Linked DNA regions of Danio rerio. The protein of the gene in region 1 interacts with the protein of each later gene in a pairwise test. Links are inferred from orthologs where the notes say so. Each region holds a gene or a part of one and is shown on either strand. Other genes may lie near its edges.

What was found.
Region 2: the proteins of lamtor5 (region 1) and tcap interact in binary tests that used the Homo sapiens proteins (3 or more experiments, as listed by UniProt). The link is inferred for Danio rerio from reciprocal best matches to the Homo sapiens genes LAMTOR5 and TCAP.

The regions. Positions count from the first base shown.
Region 1 is NC_133183.1:26,632,929-26,641,571, reverse strand, and holds lamtor5 (ragulator complex protein LAMTOR5), read right to left. Parts: upstream 5,202-8,643; 5' UTR 5,076-5,201; coding exon 5,041-5,075; intron 4,951-5,040; coding exon 4,889-4,950; intron 4,263-4,888; coding exon 4,145-4,262; intron 1,703-4,144; coding exon 1,642-1,702; 3' UTR 1,122-1,641; downstream 1-1,121. UniProt on the Homo sapiens protein: As part of the Ragulator complex it is involved in amino acid sensing and activation of mTORC1, a signaling complex promoting cell growth in response to growth factors, energy levels, and amino acids.
Region 2 is NC_133178.1:19,972,821-19,980,741, forward strand, and holds tcap (telethonin), read right to left. Parts: upstream 4,024-7,921; 5' UTR 3,919-4,023; coding exon 3,770-3,918; intron 3,093-3,769; coding exon 2,702-3,092; 3' UTR 2,155-2,701; downstream 1-2,154. UniProt on the Homo sapiens protein: Muscle assembly regulating factor. Mediates the antiparallel assembly of titin (TTN) molecules at the sarcomeric Z-disk.

The DNA of each region.
Region 1 (8,643 bases):
GCGCGCTCCGGCACTTGAGCTGCGGGCAACATCCTTGGATTTCCCGATGACAGCTCCTCCTCTGAGGCGGCAAGTCTTATCAAAGTCATTCGTGAACATGGCTGGACTCCCTGCGTTTGATTTCTTATGTTTTCTGAAAATTTGGCCCCCAGTCTGAGTGTCTCGGGGGGGTCACTTCAGACCCCTGGGACCGGCACAGATTGGATGCAATGCGCTCAGGTTGTGCAGAGCCAACGACCTGCCGCTAGTGCACTTATTGACCATGTGACCGGAACCTACAAGCCAAGTATTGAAGTGGAACTAATTTCAGAGGTTTTCCTGGACTGTGGCTATTCGAAAGAGGTAAAAAGCACCAAGCTTTGTTGCTTCAAGGTCAAATTATGAATGTTTAGGTATTCAGGTAGTATCTCTAATGTTTGACAAATCCCTAAAGGCACTAATAAAAACGTGTGTTTTAATTAAAGTGCACACAAACTGCACTCGTTTTGCTTGAGGAAAAAACTAATCGACTGTTTAGAGCTGCTATTCATAAATTTTGTAAGCTTGAACATTTGTTAATGGCATTTCAATATGCAAAAATATCAAGTTAAACATTTACTACAATGGTGATTATGTTGCATCCCCATGCTCTCAGTACTATTTTGGTACTTTATTTTTACACATTCAGATCATACAAAACATTTCAATGCATTCAAGATACAATATATCAAAATAATTGAGGGGGAAACAATTTCTTCTTTTGGCATTCATGCTGCGTACTTGGTGTAATTTTTGGAAAAATTAAGACTTGGTTGATTAACTATATTGACCCTAGAGTGAAAATGATGAACCTTTTACAGTCAAGATCTGAGCTAAGGTATTTTGCTGTTAACTGTTATCCAGAGTCATCACATGCATTCAGAAGAACACTTTATGACAGGTCTGAGTGACTGATAAAAAATTCAGGAACCCCGAGTTCCCTCAAATTTTCCTCATATGCTTTATTGCAGAACGAGTTATCCAAGGCAAACAAGTGACACACACAAAAATAATTGCCTGCATCTATTTGCACACAACAAACCAATGCAATCTAAAATATAATACAATATAAATATAATATAATTTGAATTTGTTATTCATTAAAAAAAATTGCTTTACTAGTTTACATTACACAGCTTTTATTATTGGTAGTTACTGACCAAGATGATGATGATAATTAATTTGAAGGGTTGATCTGTCTCGACATTTGATTTTTAATTGTTATTCATGTATATAAACTGTTACTCACCATAGATACTCTTAAAGGTGATTCAATTACAATTGCTGCCCCCTTTTGAACACACTGTGTTACTTCAACTAAAACTCTCTTAACTGTGCAACCACAGAGACTCAACCACGTGAATTTCCTTAATGCATTTATTCACTGTTTGAACAAAAAAGCAGTGAAGACATTTAAAGTGTGCTTTATGGTTGAAAGAAAGTAATAATATAGGAAAATAAATTAGATTAAACACTGACAACAAACATCTGACGATTTCTGATATGATGGAAGACAAGATTTCACACACCCATAGAGCTTCTATGTTTCGACAATTGACAGCAGAAGCTTATCAAACGCATACTAATGATCTTTAAAATTGAAAAAACTTAGACCAACAGATTTCACGATGCCATCTTATGCACAGCCAGTGTAATTGTTCCATGTCTTCTCACCAAGATGTTCCTGCAATGACAGAATGACATAGAATTCCCATTTAATACTTAAGATTAAAATTAGCTGCTGTTTGATTTGAGATTATCACCTGGTTAGCAAAACTACAATTAAAACACATCTTGAGATACCAAAAGCATTCACTACACAGTGAAGCCTGTCAGAATGCATTTAGATTGACTCAATATGCTGTTATGAAAGCCAAAAATATTGTTCTGTTTTTTTTTATTATAACAAACGAGTTGCTTGGGTAATAGCACACAAGTCACAGTGCCATTTACCTAAATGTCAGTGCATAGGCATGATCACAAATAGATATTGATTTTTGTGTACAAAGCTAAAATTAAGTTACATTTCAGACATAACATAATACTGCCTGCTTTTCTTGCCCTTTCACCAGCAAAAGTAGTTATATACAAAGCCAGAGCAAAACAGAGGGGTATTCCAGAAAGCAAGGCTAACTTACAATCACATATACCCAGAACTCTAAATAGATAAGGGGAGTGCGGGGCACAAAGTAACGTGGGGTAAAATGTAACAATTTTAAGGTTTTTGCTCAGGGTTAACCATGGCATGCTTCCAAAATTTTCACCACAGCGTCGGCAGACATCTTCCTGCCAATTATTGAAAAAGTTTGTTGAAAATTGGACGAGAAACACAGAAACCATTTTTCCAGCAGTTTGCAGTATTTTTTATTACAGCAAATTTGTTTTACTTAAAAAAACATCTGTGAAAGCATGTACGAAAAAATCTTATATTGCTGTGATTACCATCTTCTAGGCTAAAAGATGAAACCATTTTGAAAGATGTAAAAAGACAGTGACTGCTAGTCAGTTTTGAAGAAAACACGACACAGCAGGGTTAGTTGTAACAGGGTGTTACAATTAAGCCACACACTGTTGGACACCAATTAAACTAACTGAATATTTTTATTTTTTATTTTTGATAATGTAATGTTGAGAACTTTTTAAATAAACATGATTTTTTTATAGAAAATATATATTTTTTAATAGAAAAAATTAGTTTTATTGCTAATAATGCAAATAAACGCATTTTATAATAATGCAAAAAAAAAATCCAAATGTGTTCATTAAGTGGATAAATAAGTAAATAAACATGCTGTGCTATGTATAACACAAAATAAATTGAGCCAAGTACTGAGGAAATATAGCTACTATTTAAAGTAAACAGAAATTAAATTAACTGTGTGGAATCTGCCTTTGTAAGCATGCGTTACAACTTACCCTCTGTTTGTTACAACGTGCCCCACTGCTGGGGCAAATAGTAACATTTTTGCTCCTGGCACTTTTGGCAATACTGCACAGAAACTGTAGGAGACAGTTTGTGTGTTGTTGGTACAAAAAATGGTTTGTCTAAGCCCATTACTTTGTTCATTATTTGGCCAAAACCAAAAAGTGTTACTTTGTGCCCTGCTCTTCCCTATCCCAGGTCAGACGGTGCTTACTCCAGGTATATCAGTTTCTAAAAATCACAGCTGGTGGCAAGTTCAGTCAACTTAAGAATCTGCCAACCATAAACACACAAGACATTCTCAAAAGAATAGCAATTCCACAAGTCATGGGTGAGAAATTAATGCTAAAAAAAAAAAAAAAAAGAGCGCCTTTTATTTTTTCGTTGTTCTTGTTTAATGGCAAGTTACATTCTTTTAGCATATTGCCAACAAATTTGTGGCTGTGCAGACATTTTTAAAACCGTTTAGTTAAATGTTCAATCTTTATTAACTACTGTGTACAGGAATTATAATGTTAAAATCAATTGATTTACTTTGTTTAAACCCATCCGCATTAACTTTAAAAAAAGATGAATTACATCTATTAATTAGTAATACATATGCCATGCATTATATTGAAATGGTTCCATTGCTTTCATTACTTTTGATTGAATATCCATAATGATAGTGGCAAAAAATTAACCATTACTTAAAAACATTTACTTGATAATAGTGCTTTTTTTAAAATAATAAACCCCCAAAAACTCATAAGAAATCATATGCCTCTCTATAATTATATCCATACTACAAATATCAATGATTCAATGAATCACTCATTAAGACTTGCCGCCATCTATTGGTGGTTTTGAGTGATATTGATCCAAGACAGTTCTAAAGCAACCAAATGACCAGCACAAAATATTAATCCTTGATGAATTAAAATGAATGGAATACTTTCTGAGAAAGTCACACGCCAATTTGATAGTTTCAATACTTATTACACGTCACTATATATACACTTTAGTGACAACTGGTGTGTGTGGAAGAGGGAAGGTATAATGGGATGAATGACTTTCAAAGATTGTTGTTTAACTGACTTTCCCTCATTTAACTTTCTTAATTAATGTCATCGATTTCTGCAGATTGTTTTGTTGTCTCTCAAATCAAAAAATTCTCAAGATACATAGAAATAAGACAGATGCTGGTCAAGAAGCTTTCCTTACCCACAGTCAGACTCCAGGCACACTGTAGGACAGTCGGTGGCATCTTTGGTTAGAGAAGCAGCCTGCTTGGCCAGTACAGATACAACTCCTCCATGTTCATCAGATAGTGAGCCCCGGCCTGGAGATTAAAATATTTGTAATGTCATTGAGAATTACAGTATATTTTCAAGTTCTGGAAACCAAATGGAAAAGAGTCAACTGAGAATCTATATAAAGCACAATTCTATAACCCTATATTTTGTTGAAAAGTTTTAAATTGTATATTGTTTTGCACATGGTAATACACTGAAAAAGCAGGCTTAAAATGCTCAAGTTGAATTAATTTATCAGATTAATATTTTTAATACTACACATGCCATTATAGATTTTACTACTCAAACTATATCTATACATCATTTAATTTTACTTTACATTTTTTTTGCATAATTACATTTGAATAGGCTTGTATTTTCTCCCAGTTAACCATGTTTTTTTGTTTACCATTGTTTCAGTTAACTTTAAGTTGGTCAATAACACAGTTATAAAGTTGTCCACAGTAGACACCCGTTCCCTGTTTTGAGAAACAAATCAAACTAATAAAAATTCAAAACGTTTTACATACCTTCAACACATGTGTAAATATTAAAAGCAATATTAACCTCTTGTTGCAAGTGAAAACCCAGTACATGTAAACCAAGCAAATCATGGTCACCAGAGGAAAACTATACTAAGGGAAGTATTAAGGAAAATATAAAAATTACTTACACCCTAGATTATGTCCTTGAGCGTCTGTGCACAAAACCCCAACAATAGCTGGATTTTTCATCCTAGAGTGAGAAAGGAGATCAGTAAATGAAGACGCAAAACGAGTAACGTTACATGCGTAAGAAAAGAAAGTGGTTTCTTTTTAAACATACGTATCGTCAAGATGCTGCTCCAGTGCACCCTCCATAACAGCGTCCTAAATAAGGCTATTAAACTAATAAGAAACACGAAATGTTCAGAAACTGGCAGCGATGTTTGTTACTTGGATAACTTCCGGGATGTCAGCTGACAGTTTAACACGCGACTTAACACTACGGCGCCCTCTAAGGGACAACAAGCAAATAGGATCTAGCGCCATCTTACTCAAGTCAGGATGGTAGGTAAATGGTCCTCTTTTGTTTGCTGCTAAACCTCGACAAGTAGTCAGTCATACAATATAATTTTTTGGGTTAAACATTTTAATTAAACTAAAATGAACACACAAGACATTCTCAAAAGAATACCAATTATACCACAAGTCCCACAGGAGAAATAAATGCTAAGTAGAAGAGTGACTATTTCTGAACCAAAATGAAAAGCTTGAATTTATTAATATGCAGCTGTTGGAATAAATGAATGTTCCTGCAGCACTGCTATTGACTGATCACCTATAATTCAGAGTCTAGATCTTCTATATCCTCGTTTTTATGTTGAACAAATAATAAATTCTTTACAAACCATTCAATGCTCTAAAAAGCAAGTAGGCTACATGTGGTTAACATTTAGCTGGCATTGTCAATGAGAACTCCCAGAGGAACGTGTGAATCTTCGGTGTTGGTATCTCTCTAAATGACCTTGTCCCCTGACCAGACGCACAATAAAAGACCACCGTCAATTGTGTCTGAGCTCAAGCTCTTTATCAGACAGTCTTTTCCATTTTTAACTCAAGATATTGAAGCACTCTCTTTTATAGTTTGTGAGGTTGGTTTAAGAGCCGGGTTTGACATGAGACACATTTTTTCTCTGTCACATCCATTAACTATATGTTTGCTTAACTATATGCGAAGCATATTATAAAATATACTATTACACAAGTTGTGCAAAGTGCAAAGCATGAATCAGGTTAGCAAAGTCAATATACATGCAAATAAGCTGGCAGAATAATAGCTGCCTGTTTCTGCCTCTCTAGAGCCCATCAGAACAGTTTAATCTTTCCTGACTGGATGCAGCCTTATATTTGATGAATATCATTTTTATAGGGTTAATTTAATTCCTTAACTTCTGTCTATTGATGATCGATTTATTTTTATAAATATAGTTTCATTACAATATTATTATTTTTGCGTGTGGGTATATATATACATTTAAATATATATGGATTTTTAGACTACTGATTTTTGTGCAGTTTAAGTCTTTTAATAAGATATTTTGCTTAATTTATTTTACAGTTTTCCTTGGATTGCTTTCATGCAGCCGTCAACTGAAACTCCACATTTTTAAAACAGTTAAAACACAGGCCTAAACAGCGGCACTCATGGTCAAAATAACACATTTTGGTTGCAAAATGCACATGCCGTGTCAAAACATTTAAAATATGCAACAAAAGCTATTTTAACCTTCAAACAACACAACTTGCTAACAAGTATATGAGCTCTTTCAATTAACCATTACACAATGAACAACAAAATACAAAATACAGACCTCAGTGTGAATCAGTGCACCATTGCTTGCCATTGTAACCTATTGCCAATGCCATTTGTTGTCTTTTTATTTGGGCTGCCTTTTTGCAAAGAATTGGATCCAGAATAAGAAATGCCTTTATTAAATTTATGTTGAATTCATGACATTTTTTCAAACTGTGGCTTAAAACTGAAATACTGTTAAAAAAACAGACAAAAGTAATAAAATACTGTAAATATTAGAGAAAACATGTAAACCAATATACAGTCAAATCTATTGTGAGTAGGACATAGCCACTATTGACCTCCTCCATCCATGCAGGCACAGAACAACACAGACCTTCTACCATTTTTAATGTTTGCAGACTGATTGCTAAATGAAGATTTGTGTGAAGGTGTGTCAAACCGGTGCTTTCAGTGAATTCATACTGATCTTGGTAGTTTCTAATGGTTAGGAATAGATGGTTTCTGTTTGGTTACCATAGCTAAAACAATGGAGTTTGGAATGCTTGAATGACATCCGTGTTAACTTTTTTGAAAAATGGTGCGGAAAATGTGTCAACCCAATGAGAAAGGGTTTAAACATTTGCAAGACCTGTCTTCTGCACTTGCTGGGATAGTGATAATGATAATGAAAATGAAGTAGAACCTAGTTTCTTTAACCAGGTCAAAGCAAACAAGAAAAACTGTAATTGAAAATGTTTTTAAAAATACTGTATATACATATATTGGATCATTTTTTTCAAGCATCTACATGAGAACAAATATTATCTATAGAGCTGTAAAAAGGTTTTGTGTCTCTCTGACACACACAGTAACACATAGGCTCTTGATATTGGTGGAGACGTACATCCCTAGAGCCAATGTATTAAACAGCACAAATTCTGTTTCATGCTTTTAAAAACATTTAAACACCTAATAATACAAATAACAATAATAATAATTCTATGCTGCAAAAGTCAATTGACATGATTTTACTGTAATCTGGTTTGAGGAGGTATGAATGTACAGAAATTTAGAGAGGCATGTGACAAAATGTAACAATTTTATTCCTATTATCTGTATGAATTTAACTCTTTAAGCACATTTAGGTTACTAAGGCTTGACAGAGCATTATTTTATTTTGAAGGCTATTAAATTATTGGTGGGGACATTTCAGTAATTGGTGAGGCAATGTCCCCTCTGTCCATGCCAATTCTACGCTCTTGATAGTTGGACAGACCAGTATTATGCGCACAAATTGAACTTTTTCCTTTTAGTTCTGAAGATGTGTTTGAATAAATAAAGTATTGAATAAAATGATAATTATGATATAAAGGCTAATATATATATTATTCTTTTATTTGAAATTTATTGCATGTGGAGTCATTGTTTCAGTCAAACAACTCTATTATATCTACCAATAGTGGAGTTTACTGCAGTTTATACTATTTCTATACTTTATTTTTTATGTTAATTATGAAGTCAATTATTAAGTGAATATAAAGCCATATATCATCATTTCATTTTACATAAAAGACATGCTCTGATTGATTTCATTTCATTATTTTCATCTTTTGGCTCAGTTTTCGTACTGCATTTGTTATGAAGTTACGTTTAACAGCTTTCAAGCTCTTTTAGCCAACTTAGGTTCTTTGCTCATGGCAAGGCTTGATGATTTCTGCCCAGTCCTGTGCAGTTAGAGCCAAGCTGGTTTGCTGACAAGGCAAAAAGTTGCAATGTAATTATGTGGCCCAGGCGTCAGTGAGATCAATCACTTTCACTGCAGCCGAGTAATGCTCTGCTGACTAACCAATGGCATTTTCATGCTCCCGCTAAACGTAAATCAAATCCCAACAGCTAGGACTGACATTCACCAGTCTGCTATCCCTCACACCAATTGCCTTCAAGTTGGATATTTTATTTAGCTATAATTTCAAGTAAGCTCATTGATTCTGTATAGCTGTGTTTCATCACGTAGCTCACGTATCCCAGAGCTTTAATGGTCAGCAGTTCAAATGGGCCACATCCACGTTTATTTTTTTGTTTTCTGATCAGTGGTCAGAAATTATATAGTGATAAATTATTTTATTTGCCATTCATTATGAATTTGTTAGT
Region 2 (7,921 bases), on another chromosome or scaffold:
TGTTTCCAAACGGCCACAAGAACAACAAGCAGTACAGAGTAAACAAAACAGTAAATAGGCACATAATGTAAAAGAGAGCATAAAATATGTAAAATAGATTATACAAAAACAGTTTGGTTTCAATGCCTAAAACAAGAAAGTATTTGACCCTTTAAATAATCCCACCTAGTTAAAAGATGCCACCACAGTTGACCACACTAAACAAGATTAAAAACGAGGCCGCAGGCCCCCCGTAGAAGGGACTTATGTTTGAAACGACCTAGAAAATAGACAAGTCTTTAATTTAGACTTAAAAATTTGCATTAATGAAGACATTTTTAATTCCAAAGCCAAGAACTGGCTATAGCGAATGCTTTTAAAGTGGACCTTTGGGACTTTTAATAGAAACTGATCAGCGGAACAAGCAAGTGTTAGGATAAAGAGAAGGATTTTAAATTTGACTCTTTGTCTCACCGGTAGCCAAAGGAGAGTCCTTAAAATGGGAGTGGCATGCATATTTCAGGCTTTTTGTTAAAAATCTAGCTGCTACATTTTGCACTATAGGTGATCGATCTGAGGCAGCCCAAAATAGAAAGAGTTGCAATAGTCTAACCGGGAGGTTCTAAAAGAATGTATGACAATTTCTCAAGAACGTGAAGTGAGGGAAGACTTTATTCATTTCATTGAATTTTAGAAATAAGTTGAAGTTGATAAAAGCTATTTCCAACCACACTTGAAACATGTTTATTAAATTTTAAGTTCTGATCTAATGCAACGCCCAGGATATGTACTTGGGGTGATTTAAACTCCTCCATTTTGCCAAACCTGGGGCGTTTACAAACAACAATAACCTCTGTTTTCTCCTCATTTAAAAATAAAAAATTCTCAGAAAGCCATGCCTTTACCTCCTCCAGGTGCAGTGACAGGGAGTTCACAACAGAGGAGTCATTTTCCTTTTTGACTGACAGATAAATCTGTGTATCGTCCGCATAAAGATACAAATACAGGCCATATTTCTTGAAAATAAAACCTATATAGAGAGAAGAGAGAAGGTGCTAAAATCAAGCCTTGCGGAAGACCACACGTTAACGGTGCCATAGACGAGGAAAAGTTACCAATCTTGACAAAAAACTTCCTGTCAGAGATGTATGATGTAAATCAATTCAGCACTGTACCCCTCAGCACAACCCCAGACTCTATTGCTTATCTTTGGTTTCAAAATCTTGCACCAGGACATACTGCTTTCCGAATCAATCCTCTCAACTATGGCATACTGACCAGTGAATTGAGGGTTGAAATTTGCTTTAAGATTCTTAAATACTATTTCCCCCATTTGAATGGTTTTCTGCATAGTGTAAATTGTTCAGATATATTTTCACATTGTTAACATGTTCCTCAAATGATCATATTCATCCATGCCAATCTGAATAATTGATGTAAAAAAAATCCACTCCACACATGCATTTTTCCTCCAAACACAAGAAATATATATATTATAAATATAAATATATCAATATATACATATTATAAATAAAATATTATCTATTATAAATATAAATATATCTATATATACATATTATAAATATATTATTATCTATTATAAATATAAATATATCAATATATACATATTATAAATATAATATTATCTATTTTAAATATAAATATATATATACATATTATAAATAAAATATTATCTATTATAAATATAAATATATCAATATATACATATTATAAATATATTATTATCTATTATAAATATAAATATATCTATATATACATATTATAAATATAATTTTATCTATTATAAATATATCTATATATACATATTATAAATATAATATTATTAATTATAAATATATCTATATATACATATTATAAATATAATATTATCTATTATAAATATATCTATATATACATATTATAAATATTATATTATCTATTATAAATATAAATATATCTATATATACATATATCTATCTATTATATATCTAAAATATGTAATTAACTAATTAATCTATTAATAACTTTAGGTTTGAGGTTATTATTTGTTCAGTGCTTTGTAATAAACAAACTTAAATGACCAATGAAATGTCAAGAATTGTTTGTGGGCGGGGTTTGTGCTTTGTTGTTTAAACAAGTTTCTTTCTTTCTCTCTTGTAATGAAACACAAAACAGGTCTGATCCGATAAAACTTTTATTAAAGTAATTATCAGCTTTCAACAAGTCAACAATTATCAACAGTCAATAAATAGTGCAATTCTTATTTGGCGTTAAGTTTTAACAAAAATAAATAATTTTCTCTTTTGCTTAATTATCTTTTTGCATGAACAACCCTGACGACATGCAGAAAAAAACATCAACACAAGCTCAGAAAATGAACCTGTGTCCTTACAATTAAAAGTGCTTCGAACATTGACAATACAAAACAAGCAGATCCTATTTACAACTCAAAACCCACCAAACAAAACCTTTAGGCTTGTCATCGAGGTCATCATCATCATCATCATCATCATCTTTCTTTCTTCCCAGCCTTTATGAACATTTCATCATTTGCATATTATTTCATTATGATTGTTATCATTATTTCACTCACTAAACTTGCTGTTTTACTTTTCCTAAAATCAGTTTCTACATTCTTAATCCCTCTGATTCTCTCCCTCTGATTGCCTCATTATTTAATAACGTCCATAAAGTCTTTGACTCATATTTGTCTTCCTGCTTTTCAGCCTCTCTGGGCCTCCTGAGACATTGATCGTCCCAGAGCTCTGGGTGCCTTGGCGAACTCCATCCGCATGGGTTTGACAGGCGGCAGGTCTCTGGTGATCTGTTCCACTGCTCTCTTGTCTGGACAAACTCCGTCAGGGATGCGGACAGGTGGCAGATCCTCCAGGGTGTGTGGAGCTCCACGACCCAGGCGGACGCCCAGTTCTGCAGGCTTGAAGATGGGAAGGGGCAGGCTGTTCCTGTAGGGCAAGAGCTGGTGCTCTCTTACACCCGTATCCACAGTGCCCACTCTGCGCACACCCGACGGACAGGCCTGATGGAGAGGACGCACCTGCCAATAACGGGATAGAGACTCTCGCCGAGAATCGTCTGACATCAGCATCGACTGGCTGGAGAGAGAGAAACATGGAGAATTATAAATGAGAGGGAAGATTTGATATTTTTTTATGTGTTTAATATTAATTTAAGATGCACTAAATATAAATGATCTAAGTTGTTTTAAAAATGTCTAAAGATGCATGGATATTTCACAGAAAATTCTGGTTTTATTAACTTGTTTCTGTTTGAGTTTCTTTATGAATTGCTTTCATCTGTTAGACACAAATTTATTTTGAGGTATGCTGAAAACCATTTACTTCCATAGGATGTATATTTCCTACAATGGAAGTCGATGGTTACAGGTTTTCAGCTTTCTTCAAATTATCTTCTTTTTTGTTCAACAAAAGAAAGCAATTCATTAAGGTTTATAACCACTTGAGGGTGAGAAAATTATGAAAACATTTTCATTTTAGAGTCAACTATACCTTTAAATGATAAATGTAGCCTACTGGTGAGGAAAAACTGCATAGGATTAATAATAAATTTAACTTGTTCCTAATCTTTTTATTGATTTCTGTTAATTTGCTTGATCTTGTTTAAATCATTAATATACATATTTTTCATTAGCACAGCCTTTTTGTGAAACACATGCTTTAAAAAGCAAATAATATTTAATATTTAAGTAGTATAATACAAATAACTACATGATTACTTATTAGAAATCACAACAAAAATATGATTTTCTCACCGATCCTCAGGTTGTGTCTTCATATTGATGCTGCGCCAGTCAGCGGTGTAACTCTCTCTCTTATTTGGGTTTTCCTCCCTGACGCTGCAGCTGAGCTCGGCTCCAACCACACAGCCTCCTTTCTTCTCCAGGACTGAGCAAACCTGCATCTTCAGCTTCAGATTTTTCCTGATTTACAAGTTGGTATATTCAGTGCTTTTTTTCTGTCTCTTGTCCTGGTTGAGTGTGAGCGAGGGACTCCTTTTGCTCTGTCCGCTGGAGTGTGTGTCTCAGGCTTTTATACAACTCTGCAGCTATTTCTGTCTGATGGAATCACCCTGTACACACTGTCTACACATATGTCATCTGACACTCACACACCCACATATCCAAACATTCATACACACACTCTCTAACACAGCGCTGGGATAGGGATATAAGACCTGAGAAATCCCCAACCACTCATATTTCCATGACACATTCTATCTATCTATCTATCTATCTATCTATCTATCTATCTATCTATCTATCTATCTATCTATCTATCTATCTATCTATCTATCTATCTATCTATCTATCTATCTTTCTATCTGTCTGTCTGTCTGTCTGTCTGTCTGCCTGCCTGCCTGCCTGCCTGCCTGCCTATCTATCTATCTATCTATCTATCTATCTATCTATCTATCTATCTATCTATCTATCTATCTATCTATCTATCTATCTATCTATCTATCTATCTATCTATCTATCTATCTATCTATCATTCTGTCTATCTATCTATCTATCTATCTATCTATCTATCTATCTATCTATCTATCTATCTATCTATCTATCTATCTATCTATCTATCTATCTATCTATCTATCTATCTATCTATCTATCTATCTATCTATCTATCTATCTATCTATCTATCTATCATTCTGTCTATCTATCTATCTATCATTCTGTCTATCTATCTATCTATCTATCTATCTATCTATCTATCTATCTATCTATCTATCTATCTATCTATCTATCTATCTATCTATCTATCCATCCATCCATCCATCCATCCATTCATCCATCTTCTTACATACCTACCTGTCTGTCTCTCTCTATATAATTTCAGAGAATGTGTCTTTTCACCTGTCTTCATAGATATCACCATGAAACCATGGATAATAAAACTACAATAAGTTTACATTTTTAAATTAAGCTGTAAAACCCACCCACCCATCCAGCTTTGTTATCAATACCACCATATAGTGATTATGCCAATACAGTTTTTCTCAGTCGCTTTGGTACATTTCTCAGATCAGTATTGAAATTTTGCAGAACAGTAAGTGCATTTCTCAAAACCAACACATACAAATAGCAGAACACCATGGATTATCTGCAAAACCCAGTCTTTTGCTCAAAAACCTTAGTTCATCTCTTAAAACGAAGTTTCTATGTCAATGAACATGTTGTGTCATTGTGTACGGATATGACAGTCAAATTACTTAGCCATGCTGTCAATATAATAGTGTATTCTGAAGGGGTCTTTTGATGTGACCTGTAAAGGGTTTTTCTGATGCTTTTTTTGCTGTTTGTACCGTAATTTGTTGTCAGATCATGTCATTGTGATGAAAAAACCAACACAATCTCACGGCAATTCGTAACTTTTTCATTTAGTGGCTAATTCGTATGAATTCGTATGATCTTATTCGAACAATTTAGTACGATTTGCCCATCTCCCAATGACGGTTGGGTTAAGGGGTGGGGTTAAGTGCCACGCCTCCTTTTTCAAATCATACAATTTCGTACGACTAAACTGACAAAACATAAAATACTTTTCTCGTTAGATCAGGCTGGAAATAACAGCACAAAGAAAAAACAAAAGTAGAAATGTGTACACTGGACAATCTCCTCTGAGAAGCACCTTCATTAGAAAAAGTCAAGATCACCTGGGAGAAACTTATCAATTGTAAACAGATTTAGGAAAAAAAATAGTCAAATTAAAACGTGTTTAGCCATTTTGCATGTAAAGACTTATGCCATGAACAAACGATTTAATGTGATGGGGTCAAAACAGAGATCAAAATAATACATTAATATTATAAATTACATAATGACAATAATTTTTATCAGAGAATTGCACATAATCATTTTACATGGATGTATGCAAGCATTTGCAATTTGATCAAAGGAATGAGATTCTGCTTTTTCGATTTGCAGAAGTACCACACTGATGTGAAGATTGAACAGAATTTCAATTCTGATCTGAGAAATGGACCAAAGTGACTGTAAAAAATGTATAAACTGTATTAAACTATGGCTTAATAAATGGAATATCAACTAATGGATTGTATTTACAAAGTGAGACCAAACATGATTTACTTTTTTATATTATTGAATAAAAAATAAAGTGCTTTTTTGTTGATGATAGATTCTGCAATTCTTTTCCAGTTCAATTTAATATTCATGTTATATATGGTTGAATTTGTTGGTTCTGCAATTTAAGCACATTACATTTCTATAATGATAGATATTCCACTATATTGGTATTAGATGAAATAATGAATTGCTGGCTATAAGTATCAATATGATCTTATGGTGAAAAGATGCCAGATTTATCTATGTATTTATCAGCACTATCTAACGATCGCTCTGTCTGTCTTTCTATCTGTTCTTGTTCTGTCTCTCCATCAAAATCTCTACGGCATTGTGTATTATTGTGACAGTTGTTTCTCCAATGACCTTGCTAACAGACATCATAAGTCTCTCAATGGAAACTAAGCAGTGTTCAGATCTGGAAACAGACATGAGATTATAAACATGTGGCGGCAGTTGTTCCCTGCTGGTAATCTTCTTTTATACTGGTAATCTCTTACAGAAACATTGCTTAAATATAAAAGTCTGCTGCATTTATTAGTAACATAGTATAGCTGGAAAGTTGTAACAACCTTCCACTGGCCACATACTATTATTATCAATAATAATGTCAATAATAGTTAAATCAATGTGTTTTTCTGTACTTCAAACATAGAGTTAATATTAAAAAGCATGGCCAGAGCATGTGTTCAGTGAGTTCTGGCTCTGTGTACACTCATCAGATGAATATAGCGCTGTGTGGACAGAGGATGTGGACGGTCAAGATTCTCATGTTACACACACATTCTGTCCCCTGTCTGTCATTGACTGCTCTGTCAGTGACGCACTGGGACTTTACAGGAACTGACCTCACTCTTCTACAGTCCCCCTCTATGCAATCTGGCCACTCAGCACACTATGGTATGGAAATGTAATGCCAGTCATGAACACAAGCATGAAAGCCAGGAAACCACGTCACATCACTCCAGTAATGAAGCCGTTCCTGTAGATCACTCATGACATACAGTATGCGCTACATTTGTTTATGGCCAAGCATATGAAGTTCACAGGTTTTTTGGATGCTTATGCAAGATGTAAATATGCATATCAATGTATTATAAAAGTTATAGCTTTTTTTAAAGACACTAGGACACATAAAAACACTAACAACTTGTGGCATTACATTGTTTTCTTGTGTAAAACAATCTCTGTTTATAATAGCAATATATATTGTTTAAAACTGCAATATGTTATTGGAATGAATCAGACAAGATGCAGAATTTGTCAGTATTTTGTGTCATTTATTTATTTATTCTTAATTTTAAGTAATTCCAAAATACAAGAATTTGTATACACATCATTCATCATCCACTGATACAGATACAATAGCAATGTGTTAGGAAAAAGGAATGTATTATTTTGTTTTTGTCTCTTTTTCTTTTCATCAAACAAATTAAACGAATAATTGTTTCGGTCATTTAAGGGTCATATATTAACTGAACTTCTACTGCTGTGTGTGAGATGCTGTGCATACTAATTAGCATTTTTGCAGAAGTAGATACATGCTGCTCTTCTGTCTAAAGAAAGATGTTAAACTGAACACAGTACACAGAAAATCTTGTGTTTTTATTGTTGTGCAGAAAATTCATACAAAAATAGGACTCGTGTCTGGGGTGTGACCAATGGCGCACTGGACAATGAATGACGAATTTCACTAAACTCCACCTGTTAATATCAGCTGCCTATATAAGTTGAAGTCAGGAAATGAAAGTTGTTGCACATCTCCGTAATGCAACTTTTGCATTGCATTGAGGATAACAAAATTCTGTGAATCGAAACATTCA